2 linked regions of the Sus scrofa genome follow. The protein of the gene in region 2 purifies or fractionates together with the protein of the main gene of each other region. This does not show direct contact. Links are inferred from orthologs where the notes say so. Each region holds a gene or a part of one and is shown on either strand. Other genes may lie near its edges. The genes, in order: CHCHD4 and COX6B.

The links.
Region 1: the proteins of COX6B (region 2) and CHCHD4 purify together in Homo sapiens (co-immunoprecipitation; 3 studies listed by BioGRID and IntAct, with this or other methods). This does not show direct contact. The link is inferred for Sus scrofa from reciprocal best matches to the Homo sapiens genes COX6B1 and CHCHD4.

The regions. Positions count from the first base shown.
Region 1 is NC_010455.5:70,415,782-70,420,319, reverse strand, and holds the start of CHCHD4 (mitochondrial intermembrane space import and assembly protein 40), read right to left. Parts: upstream 2,995-4,538; 5' UTR 2,823-2,994; coding exon 2,801-2,822; intron 1-2,800. Other genes in the region: TMEM43 (transmembrane protein 43), read left to right, coding at 3,332-3,343.
Region 2 is NC_010448.4:45,090,289-45,094,760, reverse strand, and holds the start of COX6B (cytochrome c oxidase subunit 6B1), read right to left. Parts: upstream 2,933-4,472; 5' UTR 2,778-2,932; intron 1,163-2,777; exon of another isoform or gene 1,049-1,162; 5' UTR 1,038-1,048; coding exon 932-1,037; intron 1-931. UniProt on the Homo sapiens protein: Component of the cytochrome c oxidase, the last enzyme in the mitochondrial electron transport chain which drives oxidative phosphorylation.

The sequences.
Region 1 (4,538 bases), on a different chromosome or scaffold from region 2:
CTGTGCCTCTGTCCCCGACTCCCATCTTCCTCTCATGCCTCCCTCATCCAATCCTGCTGGCTCTGCCTCCAAGCACATCCAGAAGGACCTGCATCCCTCACCTTCATGACCCCCTCTCCCCACTTCTCCCTCCACTCAGCATCTCCTTGCTTCTACTTGAATGTGCTGAGCACACGCCTACCTCAGGGCCTTTGCACAGGCTGTCTGCCCCCTAGGAACACACTGAGATCCCCTCTCAGCCACCTTCTCCCTGCCTTCATACCTCCTGCTCAGATGCCATCCTCCTTCATCCTTTCCCATCACCATTTACCTGCTTTTTCTCACCTTACAATTACATATTTGTTTACCACCTGTCACCCCCACTGAAATTGAAATGTCTGCTCCATTCATTGCAGCACCTCCAGAGCCTAGAACAGTGCCCAAGACATAGTGGGTAATCGGTATTTGCTGAAGACGTGAATGGAGAAATTGAACTCTGGGTTCGAACATGAAGACCTCCGCCCCAGCAGAGAAAGGTTATCACCATGAAGCAGGTTAGAGAAAAAAACCCTTGGATGGGTGGTCTCATTTTCCCCAGGACACGTGTGGGTCTTTACACATCAGAATCTCTCAGCACATCCAACCCAGGAAGGTTCCCCCCCCAGCCCCCACCACACCATGAGGGCAGATGGCCCACCTATGACCAAAGCCATGCCTCAGTGGCTGGTACTTCACAGGTGCTCAATAAAGTTTAGCTGAACAGAAGCGGGGTCAACATTAGAAGAGAAAGAACAGTGCTACCCATGGCCAGGGAGCTAGTCTGGGTCCACACTGCCCAACACCTTGAACACCCAGCTGAGGCCTTTACTCCAAAGGCTGGGATAGGGGCAGGGCACCCCTGAAGTCAATGTGATTCACTTAGAACAGAGGGAAAGCGTATGCACGGGTTCACTGGGTAAAGGTGCCAGGTGCCAGGGGTATGGCCCATCTAATGCTCTCAGAAGACAGGAAATGCTGCTAGAAGACAGGAAATAAGATGACCAAAACAAATCAGGTAATTTCATAGTTTAGGAAGTGAAAGACACAAAGGGTCAAGAAAGACCTTACTGAGAAGCTGAATCTTAAAGGATGAGGAGGCAGCCGTGGGAAGAGACCTGGAGGAAGGATGCACCCAGGCAAAGGGAACAGCTGAGGCCAGTGTGGCTGGTCAGCAGTGGGTGATTAGAGACCAGCTGGGGACGGATCAGGTGGGGGCTCCATCACACAAGCCCTCAATCAGGCGTTTGGGATCACTTCTCTAAGTCCCATGGGAAACAGAAAGAATTGCTAGGTAGAAAAGAAGTTTTTTAGGATTTAGGGGACCATGGCATGGATAATATTAAAAACTAGGGAAGGCCTAAAAATGAATGCTTTCAGTTCTCACCCCCAATACTAAGAGAGATCTTTGACCCAGGAAAAGATATGACCTACCATTTGGTGGTAGATAAACACCTGCCTTGGACTTCCAGAAATCCTCAGGGACAAGGAGGGTCTGTTTATCTGCATGGCCTCATTAAGCCCACAAGGCTCAAAAAAAAAAATTGCTAAATGATGAAGTAAAGTAGACTCAGAAGGCAATAAAAAACAAGAGACCTACTCTCTAACAAAGCGGTGAGGGCAGAGGACTTTTGCTCAAGGCAGAGTTAAATATCAATCAATTAAAATAGCACTCATTAGAGACATCGTGAGTATTATGACTTTATGACCCAGGGAAGGAGGGTTCTGGAAGCAGAATGGGGTACTGGGGGAAAGGCCTAGCATTTTAGATTGAGCTGTTTTCCTACCTAAGCATGACCTTGGGTAGATCACCTCCATCTCTGGGCTTAAGGGTCCCTCAATGACCTGAGGGAGCTAGACTATTCATTAAAGAATTTCAGGGAGAGTTCCAGCTCTCTCTGGAGCTTTAAAGTCTCAGGTGTTCACCATCACCCTCACCTGGCACTAAAAAGGTGCTTCATGAATATGTGGAGAAGGAAGGAAGGCCTACTTCTCATTTTACAAGACTGAACACTGGGCCTTGGAGGGGCTGGGTGACAGCTCAGGGACAAAGAGCCAGTTAGCGGTTGTGCGCGGAGGCCCTCGAACCCCTGGCCTGGAGACTTCTGGGGTTCCAGGAGAGGTAACAAGGAGAGAGACCATAGACAGAAACCTATTTAGTTTTGTTTTTTTGGGGGGTTGTCTTCCCAACGGAAGGCTCCCTGGAATCCACTGGTCACCAGGCTGGGCAGCTCTGGAATCAGACCGCGGGGGTCCAACCCCAGCTTCCGGACTTGCCGGCATCATGGCATTAGCCTAGTCACCTCTGGGTCGCTGTTTACTCTCGGGAAATGAACAGGGCCTGGCTTAGGGCGCACCAGCGCCTGACCGGTCCCCTCGGGCGGTACTCCACGCCGCAGCACAGAGCACGCCGAGGGCGACTTTCCAGGACTGTTGACGGGCGGCGCAAACCGGAACACGTGGTGTGGGTAAGCGCCATAGTAACAATTAATACCTATAAACTCTCCGTTAGGAGCCAGCGGCAGCGCGCTCGCACTCCTCCGACCCCCAGGCCTAATTTAAGAGCTCTCTCACGTGGTGGTCCCTCAGACGTCCGGGTTCGAGCCTCACGGTGACCTTGGACCGCCTCGCTTCTCCCCGCTGCCCATCTGTAAAGCGGGGATGGAGACCCGACGCAAGGGTCCGAGGACTATCTTCCGCACCAGTGGTGGGGCGCGGGGGCCGCACAATCCGCCTGTTCCCTGCAGGCCCTCGTAGGCCGTCTCTAGGTACCCCGCCCTCCTACCTTCCTGCCGGCAGTAGGCCATAGTGCAGCCCGGCGCTCCAACCTCGCGGTGATCGCGGTGGCTGCCTCACGCCGTGACCTCTCCCCGGCGAGGCGGGCGGCTGGGAGGCCCGTGCGGACCCGCCCCCTCCAGGCCTGCCCTCCGCGCGCCTGCCTCGGAGCTCCTAGCCCGGCCTTCTCAACCGGGAACTACATTTCCCAGCAGGCCGCGCGCCGCCGAGCAACTCCCTAGACAGAAGGAACTGCAATTCCCAGAATGACCTGCAATGCGCAGGTGCACCAGTGAGGTACCGGGTAGGTTGCAACTTCCGGAGAGGGCACCAGACTACGTTTCCCAGGAGGAGGCGCGGCGGGCGAGAGCAGAAAAACCGCGGCTTGCGGGGCGTTGCTCTGTAGCGCATCCTAGGGCTCCGGGCTTCCCGCGCCTTTTGGCCGCCATCTGGCTGTCGAGAGGTGGCGGGATTCCGTGGTGCAGCCGTAAGTCCGTTTTCTTGCTGAGCCGAGTGAGGCGGGCGGTGACCGGATCCTGCCATGGCTGCGAACGTGAGTGTCCCCGGCTTCGCCGGCCACACCCAGGCTGCCTCGTCCACTCTCCCGGCCGCCCGCCGTAGCCCCTTGTGCGGCTAACCGCCTCCGTGCAGCCGGCCCTTCCTCCCTCTCGCTCCCGGGTCCGCTCCTTCCGGCAGGGCAGCCAGGTCGTCCGTACGTGCGGTCAGCACCCGGTGGTCCACGTCCTCCTCGGGGGCGCGTGGTGGTAGAGACGCAACCTCTGGAGGTGTGGCTCTGTCTCCGGGTCCGCTTATGTGCGGCGCCTCCGCGCAGCTCCTTCTTTCCTTCTCGGTTCCCGCCTGCGCCTTTGGGATTCTCACATTTGCGGACTTGAGAGTTGGACGGGACTTCAGACAGGAGTCCCCCATGGGGTGTGTGGGGAGGCAGATATCGCCCTGGTGAAGCTGTCCAGAAACGCACTGTCCTAGCAGGCACTGAGGTCCCCGCTCCAGGGAGTATGTAAACCAAGGCTCTGATGTTGTGCAGAGGGGCAGACTAGTTTGGAGCAGAGGAGTTAGCATGACTGGGAGAGGGAGCATTTCCCTACTGCTGGCCCCTCGTCTTCCTGGCTTTGGCTTGGTTGGAAAGGCCCTGGCTGAGGGCGGTGCCCTTGGAAAGGCAGCTGCTTTTCTCCCTGCTTTTCTGAGGAACCTTTCTATTTAAGCCCCACATTCATTCAACAAACCGAGGGGCACCTGCCAACAGGGTGCTGGGTGTGGGAGAAGCTGGTGACTCATGTTCCTGTCTTCTGCAAAAGTGCCTCTGGTGCCAGCTCGGAGCCCAGCCAGCTGAGGCACTCCCTCCCTCCTGCTTTGGTGGCATGTCCTAACCACTCTCTCTCTTGGCCTTTCACACCCTCTTAACAGGCCCTTCCTCTGTCCCCAAGGTCCTCTCTGCCTTCCACACCCCCTGAGAAGCCAGGGTTTGCCTCACCCACAGCCCCAGCACACTTTGCCTGAGTTTGCATTGTCTGGGAGGCCAAGAAGCCTTTGAAAAAGCACCTAGAAAAGCCTCAGAGGTGGTCCGGGAGACCCAGGGTCTTCCCTCGGCAGAGCGCAGTCAGGAGACCGCCAGCCCCCCCTCCATAATGACCACTTTACAGATAGGGAACTTTCCCAGCAGAGAAAGGCCCTGCCCAGGGTTGCAGAGCCAGCCTGGCAGGCTACATCTTGGGTGAGCGTAGCAGGCT
Region 2 (4,472 bases):
AGGTTCGATGCCCTGATCAATGGGTTAAGGATTTGGCATTGCCATGAACTGCAGTGTAGGTCCCAGATGCAGCTTGGATTCCATGTTGCTGTGGCTGTGGCTTCAATTCAACCCCTGGCTGAGCTTCCATATACATGGGTGGCCCTTAAAAAAAAAAAAAAAAAAAAAGAGAGAGAGAGAGCAAGCAAAATACATGCCACAGCATCAATGAATCTTGAAAACTGTTGAAGAAATCCAAACACAAAGGAATACACACAGTATTTATAACATTCACAAAGAGACAAAAGCGGTGATAAAACCAAAATGTGATCGCCCTCTCAGTGGGGAGGTAGAGCGCTATTTTCAAGACAGGGAGTGCAGTAGGCAGGGAAGCTCTGAGTGCTGGCAGCATCTAGGTTTCTTCCAAATTACAGTTTCATGGGGGAATTCGAGTTTATTAATTTACTTGTACATTATGTTTTATGTTCCTCCTGTATGTATGTACATTTCATGCACGCATGCACACACGCGCACGCGCGCGCACACACACACACACACACCATCGAGGGGGAGCTTCGTGGTGGTCTAGTGGTTAGGACTCAGAGCTTCACTGCTGCAACCTGGGTTTAAACCCTGGTCTGGGAACTGCGATCCCATATCCCACGTCAAACTGTTGCATGCCATGGCCAAAAAAAAAAAAAAAAACCTTTTGTTTTTTACAAAACAAAACACAAAATCATTGCGGGAACCAAAGTTTGTGCCACTGGCCCAGATCTTGAACACACAGCTGGTGAGGAGGGGCGTGGGCCCTGCAAGGTAGGAATGTTCAGAATAAAAGTGGCCTAGGATGCAGAAGGACCCCTAGGAGGAGGCAAGAGGTAGGTGACTTGAGGTGTGGGACCAGGGGAAGGTCAACATTGCCCCCGCCCGCTCCAACCCATGTCCTGCTCACCCAGGTAGTTCTGCCAGCAGTTCCTGGTCTGGTTCTGGTTGGGGAAGCGGCTGTCAAAAGGAGCTGTCTGGTAGTTCTTGATTTTGGTCTGGATGTCTTCTGCCATAGTGCTGACTCCTGGGGCCAAAGAGAATGGATGCTGGTAGGGCTCTCAGTCCACTCAGGCCCAGTGGAGGCTGGATGCAGAACAGGCTGGGTGTGACCAAGTCAAGCCAGGCCAAGGCCCCCTTCCTTTCAACATGCACACAGAGATGAAAGGCAGGCAAGAACACGCAAAGTGTGGAAGTCACAGCAGGGTAGGGGTGGGGGGCTCAACTCTCTGGTAAAATCAGGCCTTATCTGTCCCAAAATAACACTAGTTGACACTCACCGAGTGCTGACTATTGGCAAGGATGCTTTATTCCTACAGTCACTCTAAAAGGCAGGAACTATTACTATTACTGTTTCACAAAGAGACAGGGTGTTTAAGTGACATCCCAAGGTCAGAGAGCACACATGCCGTGGAGCTGCACTCCATCACTGACATAACCTACACTGCAGGGGTTCTTAATCTTGATCCCTGCCATGAACTCCCCAGGGATCTAATGAACCCTTTCTCAGAATATGTTTAAATGTATTTAGAAGTTGCAAAGGATCACAAAGAAAACCGTTATATGCAGCTGAGGACTTAACTACACAATTTCGAAATAGTCATGAGTGAGGGAGTCCCCGTGGTGGCTCAGTGGTAACGAACCCCACTAGAATCTATGAGGATGTGGATTTGATTCCTGGCATTGCTCAGTGGGTTAAGGATCCTGAGCTGCTATGGCTGTGGTGTAGGCTGGCAGCTGCAGCTCCGATTCCACCCCCCCAGCTTGGGAACTTCCATATGCCCTGGGGGCAGCCTTAAAAAAAAGGAATGAAAATGATATTTTGTGACATCTACAACTGTAATGGGATATAAGATGACCTGTGGTTTTAATGATGCTAATACGACTATGGCCACTGCCTCCACTCCTAACTGAAGGAAACGCTACATTTCAATAAGAGATTAGTAAAAATATAGATGTAAAATTTCCCCCATTCAAGAACTAGAACCCCTTGAATTCTATGGATTCTGTGAACCCAGAGTTAAAAACCTATGACAGAATTTCTAATGAGGTGATACAGTTTTCGTCAGGGAACCTGAAAGAAATTGCCTCTATTCCAGATGATTAGAGAAGTCCTGGGATTACATAGAGGTGAGTGGACTGATGTTAAATCCAAGCGACTCAAGGTAGTGGTAGGGATCGGGGCCATCGAAATGGAGTCTTTCCGGGAGCGGGGCTATCTGGAACTCCAGCAGCTGGGACACACACACGATCGGAAGAATTATTTTGGAAGCGAGATCCACCCGATTTCAGGAGTGCGGTAGACTGGGAGTACCGCTGTGGCCCCTCCAACGTCTAAGGGGGTGGAGGCGCCAGACACCAAGAAGCCATGCCACAGCCCAGGCAAACCACAGGGGGTACATCTGGTGATTAAAAGCCCTGCAGTGCAAACTACTAGGTCCAAATCCTGACCTCTGGCTAAACCGCTTACTGTCTGAACTGCGGTTGCCTCCCTGTCAAAAAGGGATAATCACAGGCCCTACCTCATAGAGCTGGAGGGAGGATTAAATGAATCAATGTAAGTCGCCTGGAATGTTCCAGGCATTGAGGAAAAACTAAATAATCGTTAGCTACGACTATTAACTTGAAGAGACCCCCCCGGGCCCGGGAGGCCTGCTGCCGTCGGCCGGAAACCTCATCTCATTCCCTGGGAAGCAAGGGTCGGACTCTTGAGTCCCCAGGCTGGGATTCCAGGCCCCCGAGGCCTCGACACTCACCTAGAGTCGCGCCTGAAACCGCTGGAAGCTCAATGTGACCCTCAGCAAAGACGCCGGCGTCGGACCGGAAGCGGAATAAAGACCGGCCGGAAGCGGGACGAGACGCGGTACAAGGGAGTCTTCCGCGGGGCTGGGCTGGTCCAGAAGCACTTAGGCCACGCCCATGCAAGAGAACTCCGACCTTCTATTGGTCCGAATGCCTGTTCGTCCTCACTCCCAGCCCAATCGTGAGCTGAAGCGGTTCCAAGCCGTGGGCGCAGTCTCGTCTCCTCCCCGTCCTTACCGAGAGAGAAGGGCTCAGGGTCCTGTCCTGGAGGGAGAGTCCCCCTGTGGAGAAACTATCCCAACGGAAATACTCTTATTCATGCAATAATCATTTATTGAACGTTTACTCTGTGCCAAATATTTCTATTAAGTGTTGGGACGCATAGCTGAAGAAAACACAAAAATCCCTATTCTCGTTATGATTATTACTGGGTCAATTGGAAAATTGGAATTTCCAGGAGTTCCCGTTATGGCACAGAGGAAAAAAATCCAGCTAGGAACCATGGGGTTGCGGATTCGATCCCTGGCCTTGCTCAGTGGGTTGAGGATCCAGCGTTGCGGTGAGCTGTGGTGTAGGTCACAGACAACGCTTGGATCCTGCGTTGCTATGGCTGTGGCTAGGACGGCGGTTGCAACTCCAATTGGACCTCTAGCCTAGGAATCTCCATATGCCACCAGTGCGGCCCTAAAAAGCAAAAAAGAAAAGAAAATTGGAACTTCCAATTGGAAATTCAATTACTGGGGATTGCAAACAAATCATTCTTAAGGAATTAAAAACAAGCCATTCTTTCTCCCAGGGTCGTTCATCCCTATATGAGGAATGCCCAGACTCCATCTTCCTGCTTATTATCATGTTTCCCCAAACCTTAGAAGGCACATTATGTTTTGGAGGCTGCGTACCAGGCCTACACCATCCTAACTGCATGGGGGACGGAGAGCAAGTAGCCACCCAATAAAATACTTGGCAGTGTCAGGCTTAACTGGATTGGGGGCCTCCTGCATTCTGTGTTCATCAGGATTGTAATTATTTGTTTACATGCCTGCATTCATCCCTTTCAATGAGATCTTCCTAAAGCCCAAATTTCTTTGTTTAACCCCCCCCCCAAACCCTCTAACAAAGTCCAGGCTCCTTAATATGGTTCACAGATCCTTTTTTTTTTTAATTCAATGAATTTTATTATATTTATAGTTGTCCGCAGATCCTTTGTGAACTGACCCATGGTCCTCCCTCCAGCCACGTTGAGATATATATATATAAATATATACTTTTTTTGTTTTTTTTTTTGTCTTCTTGCCATTTCTTGGGCCGCTCCCACAGCATATGGAGGTTCCCAGGCTAGGGGTCTAATCGGAGCTGTAGCCACCAGCCTACGCCAGAGCCACAGCAATGTGGGATCTGAGCCGCATCTGTGACCTACACCACAGCTCACAGCAACACCAGATCCTTAATGCACTGAGCGAGGCCAGGGATTGAATCCGCAATCTCATGGTTCCTAGTTGGATTCGTTAACCACTGAGCCATGACGGGACTCCGTCACATTGATATTTTTGGTCTTTGAATAGTGATGTGAGGCCTACCTCCAGGCCTTTGATTATGCTGTTTCCTCCCATTGGAACATTCTTTGCCCACCTGACTTCTCATATCAGCTA